Anolis sagrei: one gene and its partner. The protein of the gene in region 2 interacts with the protein of the main gene of each other region in a biochemical or structural test. Links are inferred from orthologs where the notes say so. Each region holds a gene or a part of one and is shown on either strand. Other genes may lie near its edges.

Region 1 (7,288 bases), on a different chromosome or scaffold from region 2:
AACTCCCAAGACCAACAGAAAATATTGTGTTTCCTGGTGGTCTTTGGCGACCCCTCTGACACACCCTTTGCGACCCCCCAGGATGAGAAACGCTGCCTTACCCAAAACAGAATGGTGTGATTTTGTAATCCACTTTAATACAACTGGGGGAATAATAGGCTAAGGTCCTACTTCACGTCTGTTTAAAGTCATGACATTAAGTCCTGTTTGATTGTGGGAGCTAAGCATGGTCAGTCCTGTTACCATTGGATGGAATACCAGGTGCTGTGGGCTATATTTCAGAGAAAGGAATTGGCAAAAACTACCTCCGAGTATTCTCTACTACTGAAGAAAACACTATTAAATTAATGAGGGTGCCATACGTCAAAAAGCAACTTGAAGGTACACTCTTAAAGTTGCCATGATGATGACAGTTCCCAAGGACTGATCTACCCATAGATCAGTGGTTCTCAACCTGTGGGTCCCCAGGTGTTGTGGCCTACAACTCCCAGAAATCCTAGCCAGTTAACCAGCTGTTAGGTTTTCTGGGAGGTGAAGCCCAAAATATCTGCGAACCCACAGGTTGAGAACCATTGTCATAGATAACTAGCATGCTCTAAACAAGATATGGGCATACTTTGGGCCTCCGGGTGTTTTTGACTCCAATTCCCACCATTCCTAAGAGCCTGAGGCTGTTAGGAGTGATGGGAATTGAACTCCAAAACACCTGAAGAGCCCAAGCTTGCCCATGCCTGCTCTAAACCCTTACCCTCCCAAGATATTTTGCCACCTGAAGCAAAAGCAACGATTATATACAGCCGAACCAACCCTGCACACAGGTGGCAGGAGAGGCAGGAGAACCCACAGGGAAACCGTGTCCCATGGCTTCTGTGATGGAGCTCCTCCCCTAGAAACTCTTCAGACCGCTAGGACCAAGAACAATGGGAAGGGTGGTTGGAGTGAATGCAGAGAAGACCCAAGATGCTTCTTTAACGCTCAATGGAGCCAAGAATGTCCCACTTCATATGTGCCACTGGGTCAACAGGCAAAGCTCATCCTCACTCTGAACTGTGCATCTTTGCCCATGTGCCTTCAAGTTGCCTATACATCAGACATGGGCAAACTTCAGCCCTCTAGGTGTTTTGGACTTCAACTCCCACCATTCCTAACAGCTTGGAGGGCCAAAGTTTGCCCATGCCTGCTATAGATTCATGGTGGCCCCGTAATTTTTGTAGGGTTTTCTTGGGCAAGAAATCCTCAGAGCTGATTCTGCCAGGCCCTTCCTCTGAAATACAGCCAGTTACCGATCCCCTTTCTGAGTACTAACCAGGACTGCCCCAGCTTAACTTTTTCAAGATCAGATGGGATCTGGTACCTTGAGGATCACCACACTTTGTGTGGCTTTCAGCAAAGTTCTGGAGCACAACAGAATGAATCATAGATGTTTGATGTTTTACCATCCTTGTGGGAGGCTTCTCTCATGTCCCTACCTTGGAAGCTGAAGCTCCCATGCACATGGCTCCAGCCCAAGGTATGTGTGTGTGTGTGTGTGTGTCAGGAGCAACCTGAGAAACTGCAAATCACTTCTGCTGTGAAAGAATTAGCTGTCTGCAAGGACGTTGCCCAGGGGATGCCCAGATGTTTGATGTTTTACCATCCTTGTAAGAGGCTTCTCTCACGTCCATGCATTGGAAGCTGGATCTCCCATGCGCATGGCTCCAGCCCAAGGTGTTTATTGTTGGATTTTTTTTAGTGTGTGTCAGGAGCGACTTGAGAAACTCCAAGTCACTTCTGCTGTGAGAGAATTGGCTGTCTGCAATGACGATGTTGCCCAGGGGATGCCCAGATGTTTGATGTTTTATCATCCTATGGGAGGCTTCTCTCATGTCCCTACATTGGAAGCTGAAGCTCCCGTGCACATGGCTCCAGCCCAAGGTGTGTGTGTGTGTGTGTGTGTCAGCAGCAACTTGTGAAACTGCAAGTTGCTTCTGCTGTGAGAGAATTGGCCGTTTGCAAGGATGTAGCCCAGAGGATGCCCAGATGTTTGATGTATTACCATCCTGTGGGAGGCTTTTCTCATGTCCCTGCACTGGAAGCTGGCACCCCCATGTGCATGGCTCCAGCACAAGGTTTGTTTTTCGTTTCAGGGAGCGACTTGAGAAACTGCAAGTCGCTTCTGGTGTGAGAGAATTGACTGTCTGCAAGGACGTTTCCCAGGAAACACCCGAATATTTGATGTTTTACCATCCTATGGGAGGCTTCTCTCATGTCCCCACATGGGGAGCTGGAGCTTCCATGCGGGGATTCGAACCACGGACCTTTCGGTCAGCAGTCCTGCTGGCACAAGGGTTTAACCTACGGCGCCACCAGGGGCTCCTCCAGCCCAAAGTCACCCGTCGAGCTAAGGCAGTTTGGACCCCCCTGGGCCTGCCCTGGCTCAATGCTATGGAAGCACAGGAGTTGCTTGGCGAGACAGCCAGCGCTCTCTGGCACAGAAAGCGAAAGGCTCTGTTGATGGACAACTTCTAGGACCCTCTAGGACCGGGCCAGGGCTGGGAGCGTGGGCTCCAACTGCATTCGGTGGGCAGAAAGCCGCCCCCCCTCCCCCCCCTTTCGAGTCACCTTCTTGCTCCGATGGAAGGCGGCGGGGGCGCTCCGGTCCTTCCCGACCTCGTCCTGGTTCTCCTCCTCTAAAGCCAAGGAGGGCGTGGGGTCGTCCTCTTCGTCCGGAGCATCCACGACACTGGAATCCGCGGGAGGCGGGCGGAGGACCAGGAGAAGCCCAAGCAGCAGCAGCAGCGGAGCCGCCAAAGAGAGGCGCCTTCCCATTTTTATGTTTGAGAGAGCGGGGATCAGCAGAGTCCTCACTCTTGCCAAGTCCCAGACCTTGTTGAATGAAGGCCCTCGTGGACAGACGGGACCTAGAACCCGCCCAAAGCCTCAACCTAGAACCCGTCGAAGCGCTGCTCCTTGCTCAGCCTCGCAAGCGGCGGCTTGGCGAGGGATTAGCCCACGAAAATGACGCCCCGGGAACGCGCACCGCACGCGCCCGCCCTCCTCCCTTCTTCCTCCCTTCCTTCCTTCCCTCTCTCTCTCTCTCTCTCTCTCTCTCTTTGGCTGACTTTCTCCCCTTTCTTTCCTCCCTCCCTCCCTCCCTCCCTCTTCCTTTACATCCTCTCGTGTTCCTCACAATCTTTTGGGGCGTGGATGTGGCCCGATCACGCCACTCTTCCCCCATCGGACCATCCGCGCTTGTTAAACATTAATTGGGAGTCTTTGGGCGCGTGGGGTGGATGCCCAGGCTTAGGCGTTTCAGGTTACAAGGGGTTGGGTTCCTTCTTTTTTCTTTTCGGGGTGTTTTCGAACAGGAGGGGGGTAAGGCATTCCCCTGCAGACAAAAGCAAAGGTGTCTCTCCCTCCCTCGCTCCGTGCCTGAACTTGATTGGAGGACTTGAGCCTCCAGGCGGGACGAGGAGGAGGACGAGGAGGAAACTGGAGAGCCCGGCGCCCTGGCTTCTCGGCTCAAGGGCTCTTTTTGGGAAGCTTTCTTGGGGAGCTTGTTGGAACAGGAGCGTCCCAAAGAGCGCGAGGAAGGCTGCGCCGACTTTTCTGCAGGATCCCTTCCTGGGAAGCATGGTTTTCCTAGCAGAAATCAACCAATGCTGACAAAAATTAACATTTGAGGAGAATTATCCAGAGCGGGGCTAGACCAGCTCAGGGACCCCGGGGGGGGGGGGGTCATGAATTGGTATCAGAGGGGTCGCCAAAGTCCATCAGAAAGCATAGTATTTTCAGTTGATCATGGGTTCTATGTGGGAAGTTTGGCCCATTTCTATCATTGGTGGGGTTCAGAATGCTCTTTCATTGTAGGTGAACTGTAAATCCCAGCAACTACAACTCCCAAATATCCCCCAAACTCCACCAGTGTTCACATTAGGGCACATTGAGTATCCGTGCCACGTTTGGTCCAGTTCCATCATTGTTTGAGACCACTCTGGATGTAGGTGAACTACAACTCCAAAACTCAAGGTCAGCGCCCACCAAACCCTTCCAGTATTTTCTGTTGGGCATGGGAGTTCTTTGTGCCAAGTTTGGTTCAATTCTATTGTTGGTAAAGTTCAGAATGCTCTTTGACTGTAGGTGAACTATAAATCCCAACATCTACAACTCCCAAATGACAAAATCAATCTCCCTGCCCAATCCCACCAGTATTCAAATTTGGGCATATCGGGTATTTGTGTCAAATTTGGTCCAGTGAATGAAAATACATCCTGCTTAGCAGATATTTGCACTATGAATCAGAACAGTAGCAAAATTAGAGTTATGAAGAAGCAACGAAAATAATTTTATGGTTGGCGGTCACCACAACATGAGGAACTGTATTAAGGGGTCCCAGCATTAGGAAGGGTGAGAAACACTGGGGTAAACCAAGGTATTTGGTTGCCTGAGGCAAAGTGACAACCCCCTTTTTTGCATACTGGTATGCTCATCAGGCAGCTACTGGCATACTGTGTTGTCGAAGGCTTTCATGGCCAGAATCCCAGGGTTGCTGTGAGTTTTCTGGGCTGTATGGCAATGTTCCAGAAGCAATCTCTCCTGACATTTTGCCCACATCTATGGCAGGCATCCTCAGAGGTTGGAAACTAGGCAAGTGAGGTTTATATATCTGTGGAGTGTCCAGGGTGAAAGAAAGAACTCTTGTCTTCCTGAGGCAAGTTTGAATATTGCAACTGGCCACCTTGATTAGCATTGAATAGCCTGGTTGATTTCTGCATGAAGAAATCCTTTGTTGGGAGGTGTTGGCTGGCCCTGATTGTTTCCTGTCTGGAATTCCCTTGGTTTCTGAGTTTTGTTCATTCTTTACTGTTCTGATTTTAGAGTTTTTAAAATACTGGTAGCCAGATTTTGTCCATTTTCATGGTTTCCTCCTTTCTGTTGAAATTGTCCACAAGGGATTCCAGGCATGGATCAATCAGGGTCAGCTAAAACCTTCCAACAAAGAATTCTCCCAGGCAGTTAGCAGCCAGACCTTGAAGCTGAAAGGCTACTCATTGCTAATCATTAGGGCTGGGCGGTTTCGTTTCGTAATTTCGTAATTCGTTAAAAATTCGTTATTTTTTTTTATAACGAAGCGATATTGAACCATTCAGGAGCATCTTAAAAATGAAATGAATTTTTCAATTCGTTTCGTAATTGCTTCGTATTCATTTCGTATTCGTTTTGAAATCGTTTCAAAATCGTTTCGTTATTATTTCCGCATGTCTGGGGCAAGTTTTATAGCTGTTGTTTGTTTAATCAGTGAAAAAAAATTATAAATATCACACCAACAGTCAACAACAGAGGGAGAGGGAAGCTTCAAAAGTTCCCCCTGTCCCATATTGAGGTTTTTTAGCGTATTGCGCGGTCGTGTCCGCCATTAACGAATAGTTTCGTATTCATTTCGTATTGTTTCGTAATTTTACAAAATTTCGTAAATATCGAACTTTTTTAAAGAAAAATTTTGGAATTCTTTTAAATATCGAAACGCAAAAAAACCCAAAAAATAAATCGAGTTTAGAAACAAATTTTTCCGTGGTTGCCCAGCCCTACTAATCATTGTGGCCAATTGAAACATTCACATCTGCCTCTCGCAGACAAGGGTTCTTTGTCCCACCCTGGACCTTCCACAAATATATAAACCTCACTTGTCTAGTTTCCAACAGACCTGCCATAGATACAGGTGAAACATCAGGAAAGAATGCTTCTGGAACATGGCCATACAGCCCAGTAAAATCATAGCAACCTACTGGCATACCCTTTGACATTTCACTGATTTTTGTGTCAGAAGCAACTTGAGAAACTGCAAGTCGCTTCTGGTGTGAGAGAACTGGCTATCTGCAAGGATGTTGCCCTGGGGATCCCTGGATATTTTGATGTTTTTACCATCCTTGTGCGAGGCTTCTCTCATGTCCCTGCATGGGGAGGAGGAGCTGACAGGGGAGGTCACCTGCACTCACCCCTGAATCAAACCTCTTCAGTCCCGCCGGCACAAGGGTTTAACCCACTGTGCCACCAGGGCCTCTATTTCACTGATGAAAAAAGGGGAAAACATGTATCAATATGATACAAATAGTTACTAATGAGGAGCTAGGACAGGCAGCAGTTTAGCCTTTGCCTAAGCTCCATAGGAAGGGCAGGATAGAGCCTTTTCCTATTATCAAAATAGGAAGAGACCCCAAGGGCCATTCAGTCCAACCCGTTCTGTCATGTAGGAAGACACAACGAAAGCACTCCAACAGATGGCCGTCCAGCCTCTACCTAAAAGCCTAATCCTCCAAGCTAGGATAGTCCATTGCCCAACAGCAATTACCAACAGGAAGTTCTTCCTAAGGTTGAGGTGGAATTTCTTTGCCTGCTATTTGGATCCATTGCTCCATGTCCTAGTTCCCTGAGCGTCAACAAAGCCCACCCCTTTCCTCAATGTGACAACTCTTCAAATATTTAAACAGGACTACCATGTCCCCTCTCCGCCTTCTCTAGTACATTTCTCCCTGTCGAAATCCATCTTGTTAGTTTTGGCCCACCTCTCCAATCTGTTAAGGTCATTTTGGATTCTAGTCCTGTCCTCTGAGGTGTGTTAATAGCTCTCCCTCTCAATTTGGTGTCATCTGCAGATTTGATAAACTTGCCTCCTCTCCTCTTAGTGAGTAAACTGAGTGTAAATTACTTGCGAGCTTCAGACTCTGTTTCCAGCCTGAGTAACCTGAAATGAGAACAGAGAAACTGGGACATTTGAAAGCAGGACTGCAAAGGGTTAACAAGACTAGGACTGCCAAACCTGGATAGTTGGAGGGTAGACTGTTTGCTGTCCCTTCAATACTGGTGATGAATGAGGTGCTCCATAACACCTGAAGGCAGTTTAGAGGGGCAAAGGGCCTGTCTCTTTTGGCTATGGGACAATTAGTTCAGTCTTCCAAGAAAGAGAAAGGGACAAAAACTTGTGCCACCCAAATTGGTACAATTATTTCAGAGTTGAGATAAGTTGAGATAAGAGACCTCATGAGACATCCAGTCCAACCCCTTGCCAAGAAGCAGGAAAAAGGCATTCCATATTATCCATGGTTTCCTTTTTCTACAATATATTTGGGGACATTGTCCCCTTCAAATATGGGGGTCATATAGTGCAGCATTTTCTCCCCTCACTTCCCCATAGAAAAACAAATTCCACTGGATTAACTATGTCAGAAAAAGTTTCTTCATGACTGCGGGCACAGATAAGATGCAAGGGATGACTGGCAGCTGAAGAGTTTTTCCAGAAAAATACAGTATT
Region 2 (7,474 bases):
CGCCCGTCCAGCCCAACTTCCTTCAACCTGCAGCGGATGCATTCACTCTCCCACCCACAACAGATGCAACAAAACCCCACCCCATGTTAGGCATTCCACCGAAACATTAGAAAAATTCCTGATGGTAAGAGCTGCCTAAAAGTGGAATACGCTGCTGCCTGCGAGTGTGGAGGAATCTGCTTCTCTGGAGGTTTTCAAAGACAGGCTGTTGGAAGTGTTTGGACTGTGTGTTTGTAGGAAGGCACTGGGTGGGCGAATTTCTTCCAACCCTATTATTTCCAATTAAAACCAAAACAATGCTGGTCATTGGTGCTAACTCTATTCACCTGCTTGAGTCTGGCTACACATCTGCTAAAAATTACACTTACTGCTAAAAAGTTGCAAAACTCCTACTGGGAGGGAGGGCTTTCTTCTTTGCAAGTGGAATGAGGTGACAAAGCACAGTTTTAAGGAGAACTCACTCTGAGCAAAGCTAAGATGCTGCTCCCATGAATCTGAGCATCCAGGTATGAGTGACCACTTTAGAATTAATGCAATGTGACTCTGCTATAAATGCCACCACAATGCTAGGGGAGCCTGGGATTTGTAGTTTGCTGAGGTCACTACTTGAAAGAGAACACTGCAAACCTTATAAAGTGACAATTCCCATTGAACCGTGCTGTTAATGGGGTTTCAAGCTACAGTACATTCATTCCACAGTGTGGATGCACCCTCAGTCCCTTTTGAGAGCTCAGTCTAACCAGGGAGTGCTTCTGTCAAAAAGCTTTTCATGCTGTGGCCTGCAGGCCATTACCCTTCTTATTCACCCCTTTTAAAGAAAGGAGGGGTTGCAGGGAGTTAGGCAGAGCAAAGGGGCAAAAGGAGGGTATGAAGGCTGTGCACCTTCAGGACTTTGAAGAGAGGCTGAGTGGTGGTTCTGAAGGAGAAGGGAGAGGGAAGACTTATGTGTGGAAAGGGCGTGGAGCCTCCTCTGGCCTGCAGGAAAGGAAGGGTGGGGCTCCTCCTCCCCAAATCCTTCTTCTTCCTCAGCCCAGGCCAAGCATCGATCCTTTTTCCTGGGTTGTTGTAGGTTTTTCGGTCTATATGGCCATGTTCTAGAAGCAATCTCTCCTGACATTTCATCTGCATCTATGGCAAGCATTCTCAGAGGTTGTCACAACCTCTGAGGATGCTTGCCATAGATGAAGGCGAAACGTCAGGAAAGATTGCTTCTAGAACATGGCCATATATCCTGAAAAACCTGCAACAACCCAGAGGTTGTGACAACCTCTGAGGATGCTTGCCATAGATGAAGGCGAAACGTCAGGAGAGAATGCTTCTAGAACATGGCCATATAGCCCAAAAAACCTACAACAACCCAGTGATTGCAGCCATGAAAACCTTCGACAATACAATCCTTTTTTTTGCTCCAAAGTTTACAAGGCACCATTTATCTCCATTATGACAGGAAAAGTTCACACAGAGGAAGGAGTAGGAAGATGAAGGTCCCAATATTCACAGCATTCATTGGGACTTGACCTTTCCTTTAGGAGTTGGAGGATGGGTTTCTCCTCAGGTTGGGTGTGTTCTGGGTTGAGGTGCAAAAGGAGAAGCGCTGCCTCAGAACTATGCCAGTTCCATACCACTTTGACCGCTGTGGGTTGGTGCTGTGGAACCTTGGGTGTGCCTCAGGTCCCTTCCTTTCCTTACGTGGCTCAGGAGGGAAAGGAAAGGGCCTGAGGTTGTTAGGAATGGTGGGAGTTGAAGTCCAGAACACCTGGAGGGCCCCACTTGGCCCAGGCCTGGTCTACAGTGTGTTTAGGCAATCCCTCGTTGGATGAGTAGGATAGTCTTCCAGGATCAGTATTCTTGTGGATCCGTAGGTGACTGTGGAGCTCTATTCTTGACCTGCATCTTCTCCCAGCGAGGGCATTGGTTTCCAGGTGGAAAGATGCATCCTGACTCTCTCTCTCTCTCTCTCTTGGAGTAGTAAACCTGAATGCCTGGTCAATGTCCCAGGGTTATTTTCTTCATTTCCTCTGAAATCTGGTTTTTGCTGGTGGTCTCCCATCCAAGCACTAGCCAGGGTGAACCTTCTTAGCTTTCAAGAATAGATGGGATCGGATCCCTTACACCTAGTAATAGTAAAGGTAGTTCCCTGACATTAAGTCCAGTCATGTCTGACTCTGGGGTGTGGTGCTCATCTCCATTTCTAAGCCGAAGAGCCAGCGTTGTCCGTAGACACCTCCAAGGTCATGTGGCTGGCAATATCTAGTAATATAGATCCCTAATATCAAGATACAGAGCTTGCTTTTACCTGGGAAGGCTGGCTTTCCCCAAACCGGAGTGTGGTGGAGGCTCCTTCTTTGGAAGCTTTTAAGCAGAGGCTGGATGGCCATTTGTCAGGGGAGATTTGAATGCAATATTCCTGCTTCTTGGCAGGGGGTTGGACTGGACGGCCCATGAGGTCTCTTCCAACTCTTTGATTCTATGATACTACATTGAACCAAGGCATTTCAAAGTGGGGCCAAACTCTTCTCCAAGTTTGCACACAGAGAGCAAAGGCCTTCAAAGCTTTAGCCCTTGAGTTTCTCTCTCCACCCTTTTGACTCCTGAGGCTTCACCATTACTTTCTAATTATTAATAATAATAATAATAATAAAACTTTATTATATACCGCCCTATCTCCCCTAGGGGACTCAGAGTGGTTTCCACATATGCAAAACAATGCAAAAACATACAAATATAGGCACAAACTGTCAACACAACATAGACATTAGAACCAATTGAAAACCATTTAATGCCTTTCATTGGAAGCCACTCCTTACCGTTGCCAGAAACGTGGTCGAGGATGCTGAGGAGGAAGACCGCCAGGGCGACGTGGGTCGCTTCAAGTGGGCTCATGGTGGGCTTCACAGTCTTTTCAAAAACCCTTCTTTGGAGTCTTTTTCTCCCTCAGGTGAGTCTGCTGTGAGGAGTGGGCGCGTGCCGCTCTCTCTGCCTCTCTCGCGCGCTCTCTCTCTGACTGGCTGCTTTGCGCACGCGGCCGGCGCCAGGCTTCTTTTTCCTCGCGCTCCTCCTGCCTCCTCCTCGTGGCCGGGCCAAAGGGGCGGGGCTTCCAATGGGGTGATTTTCAAACCTTTCCCCACATCACACAGGCACGGGGAGGGGTCACCCCGAACGCACGATGTGACGTCGGTGCCTCCCTGCCCCGTCTCTCGTTTTGATTGGCTCTCTCCAGATGCGCGCGCGGGCGGGCGGGGCAGGAGGGCTACTTTGGCATCCCGTAGAAACCCAAGGGAACTTGGTTGCGCCTCTGGAGTTACCCCCCTCCCCCCAAATTCAACTTGGGATGGCCCGGTATTGCATTCTACCTACTGAAGGACTCCTGCACTTTTTGTAAATGGGGGGATGCTCAACATTGTCAAGCAAGTTATCGTGTCAGTGGCAAACCAAACAGTTGCATTGCATTTTTAAACAAACAAACAAAACAGAAAGTTTGCAAGCTTGGTAGTTGATTAAATGTCCTTTGACCAGTAGCTGACGACTTGGAGTGCCTCAGGTGTTACTATAAGAAGGTCTGGGTTGTTGTAGGTTTTTTGTATGGCCATGGTCTAGAGGCATTCTCTCCTGACGTTTTGCCTGCATCTATGGCAAGCATCCTCAGAGATAGTGAGGTCTGTTGGAACTAGGAAAAAGGGTTTATATATCTGTGAAATGACCAGGGTGGGACAAAGAACTCTTGTCTGCTGGAGCTAGGTGTGAATGTTTCAACTGACCACCTTGATTAGCATACAATGGGCTGACTGTGCCTGTGATCATTCCCATCACAGGCACAGTCGAAGTGTATTGTCGACTGTGTAGTCGAAGTGTATTGTCGAAGGCTTTCATGGCCAGAATCACTGGGTTATTGTAGGTTTTTTCGGGCTATATGGCCATGTTCTAGAGGCATTCTCTCCTGACCTTTCGCCTGCATCTATGGCAAGCATCCTCAGAGATAGTGAGGCCTGTTGGAACTAGGAAAAAGGGTTTATATATCTGTGAAATGACCAGGGTGGGACAAAGGACTCTTGTCTGCTGGAGCTAGGTGTGAATGTTTCAACTGACCACTTGATTAGCATACAATGGGCTGGCTGTGCCTGTGATCATTCCCATCACTGTATTGTCGAAGGCTTTCATGGCCAGAATCACTGGGTAGTTGTAGGTTTTTTTGGGCTATATGGCCATGTTCTAGAGGCATTCTCTCCTGACCTTTCGCCTGCATCTATGGCAAGCATCCTCAGAGATAGTGAGGTCTGTTGGAACTAGGAAAAAGGGTTTATATATCTGTGGAATTACCAGGGTGGGACAAAGGACTCTTGTCTGCTGGAACTAGGTGTGAATGTATCAACTGACCACCTTGATTAGCATACAATGGGCTGACTGTGCCTGGAGCAAACTTTTGTTGAGAGGTGATTAGATGTCCCTGCCTGCTTCCTCTCTGTTGTTGTGCTGTTGCAATTTTAGAGTTTTTTTTAATACTGGTAGCCAGATTTTGTTCATTTTCATGGTTTTCTCCTTTCTGTTGAAATTGTTCACATGCTTGTGTATTTCAATGGCTTCTCTGTGTAGTCTGACATGGTAGTTGTGAGAGTGGTCCAGCATTTCGGTGTTCTCAAATAATATGCTGTGTCCAGGCTGGTTCATCAGGCGCTCTGTCAAGGCTGACTTCTCTGGTTGACTTAGTCTGCAGTGCCTTTCATGTTCCTTGATTTATGTTTGGGCAATGCTGCGTTTGGTGGTCCCTAAGTAGACTTGTCCACAGCTGCATGGTACACGGTAGACTCCTGCAGAAGTGAGAGGATCCCTCTTGTCCGTTGCTTCTGCAGGAGTCTACCGTGTACCATGCAGCTGTGGACAATTTCAACAGAAAGGAGGAAACCATGAAAATGAACAAAATCTGGCTACCAGTATTCAAAAACTCTAAAATTACCACAGCAAAATGACAGAGGGAAAACAATCTGAGACATCTAATCACCTCTCAATAAAAGATTGCCCCAGGCACTGCCAGGCCATCAAATGCTAATCAAGGTGGTCAGTTGAAACATTCACACCTAGCTCCAGCAGGGAAGAGCTCCTTGCCCCACCCTGGTCATTCCACAGATATATAACAGTATTTCTTCTTGATGCTTGTGGGTCAACATTATTTCTTCTTGTTTCTTTGTCAGTGTTGATGTAAATATTCTCTGGTTTGCTTATTCTGAAACATGCAACATAGAATTGTCCTTCTTTAGGGATCCCTTTCAAATCTATGATACTATATCTGTGTGTGTGTGAATCATATCTATCTATCTATATCTATGACTGTTTGTGAGGAGGGCTTTGGTTATGTTTTCTTGCCCTGGTGAAGGGAGTTGGACTGGATGGTCTTAAGGCACAATTTCTCAACCTGGCTGAGGTCATCCTGGCTGAAGTCCTGCAGAGGTCATAAAAGGGTGTTAGAAGGGTCACCAAAGACCATCAGAAAACACAGTATTTTTTGTTGGTCATGGGGGTTCTATGTGGAAAGTTTGGCCCAATTCTAATGTTTGTGGGGTTCAGAATGCTCTTTGATTGTTGGTGAACTAAAAATCCCAGCAACTACAACTCCCAAATGTCAAGATTCTGTTTTCACCAAACTCCACCAGTGTTCACATTTGGGCATATTGAGTCTTCGTATAGAGTTTGGTCCAGCTCCATCATTGTTTGAGTCCACAGTGATCTCTGGATGTAGGTGAACTACAACTCTAAAACCAAAGGACACTGCCCACCAAACCCTTCAAGTATTTTCTGTTGGTCATAGGAGAACTGTGTGCCAAGTTTGGTTCATTTCCATTGTTGATGGGGTTCAGAATGCTCTTTGATTGTAGGTGAACTATAAATCCCAGCAACTACAACTCCCAAATGACAAAATCATTTTTTAGCGAAGGACATACATTGGGTTGTTAGGTATCTTGTCTCCAAATTTGGTGTCATTTCGTCCAGTGTTTTTTGAGTTCTGTCAATCCCACAAACGAACATTACATTTTTATTTATATAGATTTATCCCACCCATGGGAGAAAAGCAGGATAAATAATAATAATAATGATAATAATAAACTGGCAGATTGAACAGTTAAAAATGGCAGCTACAAAAACAAAGTTTCTGGAGTATAGCAACTATTTTCAAAGTGCTACACAATTAAACAGGAAATACTGTTACACTTTCAAACCAGGAAGAGAATTTTTTTCAAATTTTGTTACATTATTCACTTTCTCCATTCATTACACTAACAAAATTTGAAAAAAAAAGTATCTGTTCCTTGTGTGAAAGTGTTATTTGCTGTGCAATACTTACTTTGAAAGTTGTTACGCTCCAGAAATTTCATTTTTGTGGCTGCCACAAACTAGGTTGAATTTGTCGAGACTCGAAATGTTCATTGAAAAACTTTAGCAAAATGCTTCAGGATATCCCGCAAAATTATGGCAACAAGAATGATTGACAACTGGAAAATAGAGGGAGAAAATGTGGAGGCCGTGACAGACTTTGTATTTCTAGGCGCAAAGATTACTGCAGATGCAGACTGTGGCCAGGAAATCAGAAGACGCTTACTTCTTGGGAGGAGAGCAATGACCAATCTCGATAAAATAGTAAAGAGTAGAGACATCAGACTAGCAACAAAGATCCGCATAGTCAAAGCCAAGGTATTCCCTGTAGTAACCTACGGATGTGAGAGCTGGACCTTAGGGAAGGCTGAGCGAAGGAAGATCGATGCTTTTGAGCTGTGGTGTTGGAGGAAAGTTCTGAGAGTGCCTTGGACTGAGAGAAGATCCAACCAGTCCATCCTCCAGGAAATAAAGCCCGGCTGCTCACTGGAGGGAAGAATACTAGAGACAAAGTTGAAGTACTTTGGCCACATCATGAGGAGAAAGGAAAGCCTAGAGAAGACAATTATGCTGGGGAAAGTAGAAGGTAAAAGGAAGAGGGGCCGACCAAGGGCAAGATGGATGGATGGCATCCTTGAAGTGACTGGACTGACCTTGAAGGAGCTGGGGGTGGTGACGGCCGACAGGGAGCTCTGGCGTGGGCTGGTCCATGAGGTCACGAAGAGTCAGAGACAACTGAACGAATGAACAACAACATCCTGCAAAAACACTTTTAAAGTTTAATGCACTTTCTCATGTTTTTTTTTTTTTAATGATAGAACCAATTAGGAAAAGGTATTTATAAACCAGGTACAAAAATTGAGTTACATAGTGTTGATGCCCTTATAAAAATTGCAAAATCAAGCTTTGCCTTTTGGAATTTTGTCACAGTGTTACATAGTGTTATCATTCAACAGCCGTAAACAGGAAGGCTCTTCAATGCAGAATGAGCATGCCCCCTCATTTTTCTCCTTTACCCTTTAAAATCTCTACCTGGAGAAGAATACAGTGATGTCTTGAAAGCTAGTGTGAAGCATTTGGCCCTGCCCAGCAAAATCTTTTGTGTTTTAAT

What was found. The genes of interacting proteins can lie anywhere in the genome.
Region 1: the proteins of LDLR (region 2) and PCSK9 form a complex in vitro, tested with the Homo sapiens proteins (3 studies listed by IntAct, with this or other methods). The link is inferred for Anolis sagrei from reciprocal best matches to the Homo sapiens genes LDLR and PCSK9.

What each region holds. Positions count from the first base shown.
Region 1 is NC_090024.1:171,681,033-171,688,320, forward strand, and holds the start of PCSK9 (proprotein convertase subtilisin/kexin type 9), read right to left. Parts: upstream 3,088-7,288; 5' UTR 2,809-3,087; coding exon 2,602-2,808; intron 1-2,601.
Region 2 is NC_090022.1:164,561,836-164,569,309, forward strand, and holds the start of LDLR (low-density lipoprotein receptor), read right to left. Parts: upstream 3,060-7,474; 5' UTR 2,884-3,059; coding exon 2,808-2,883; intron 1-2,807.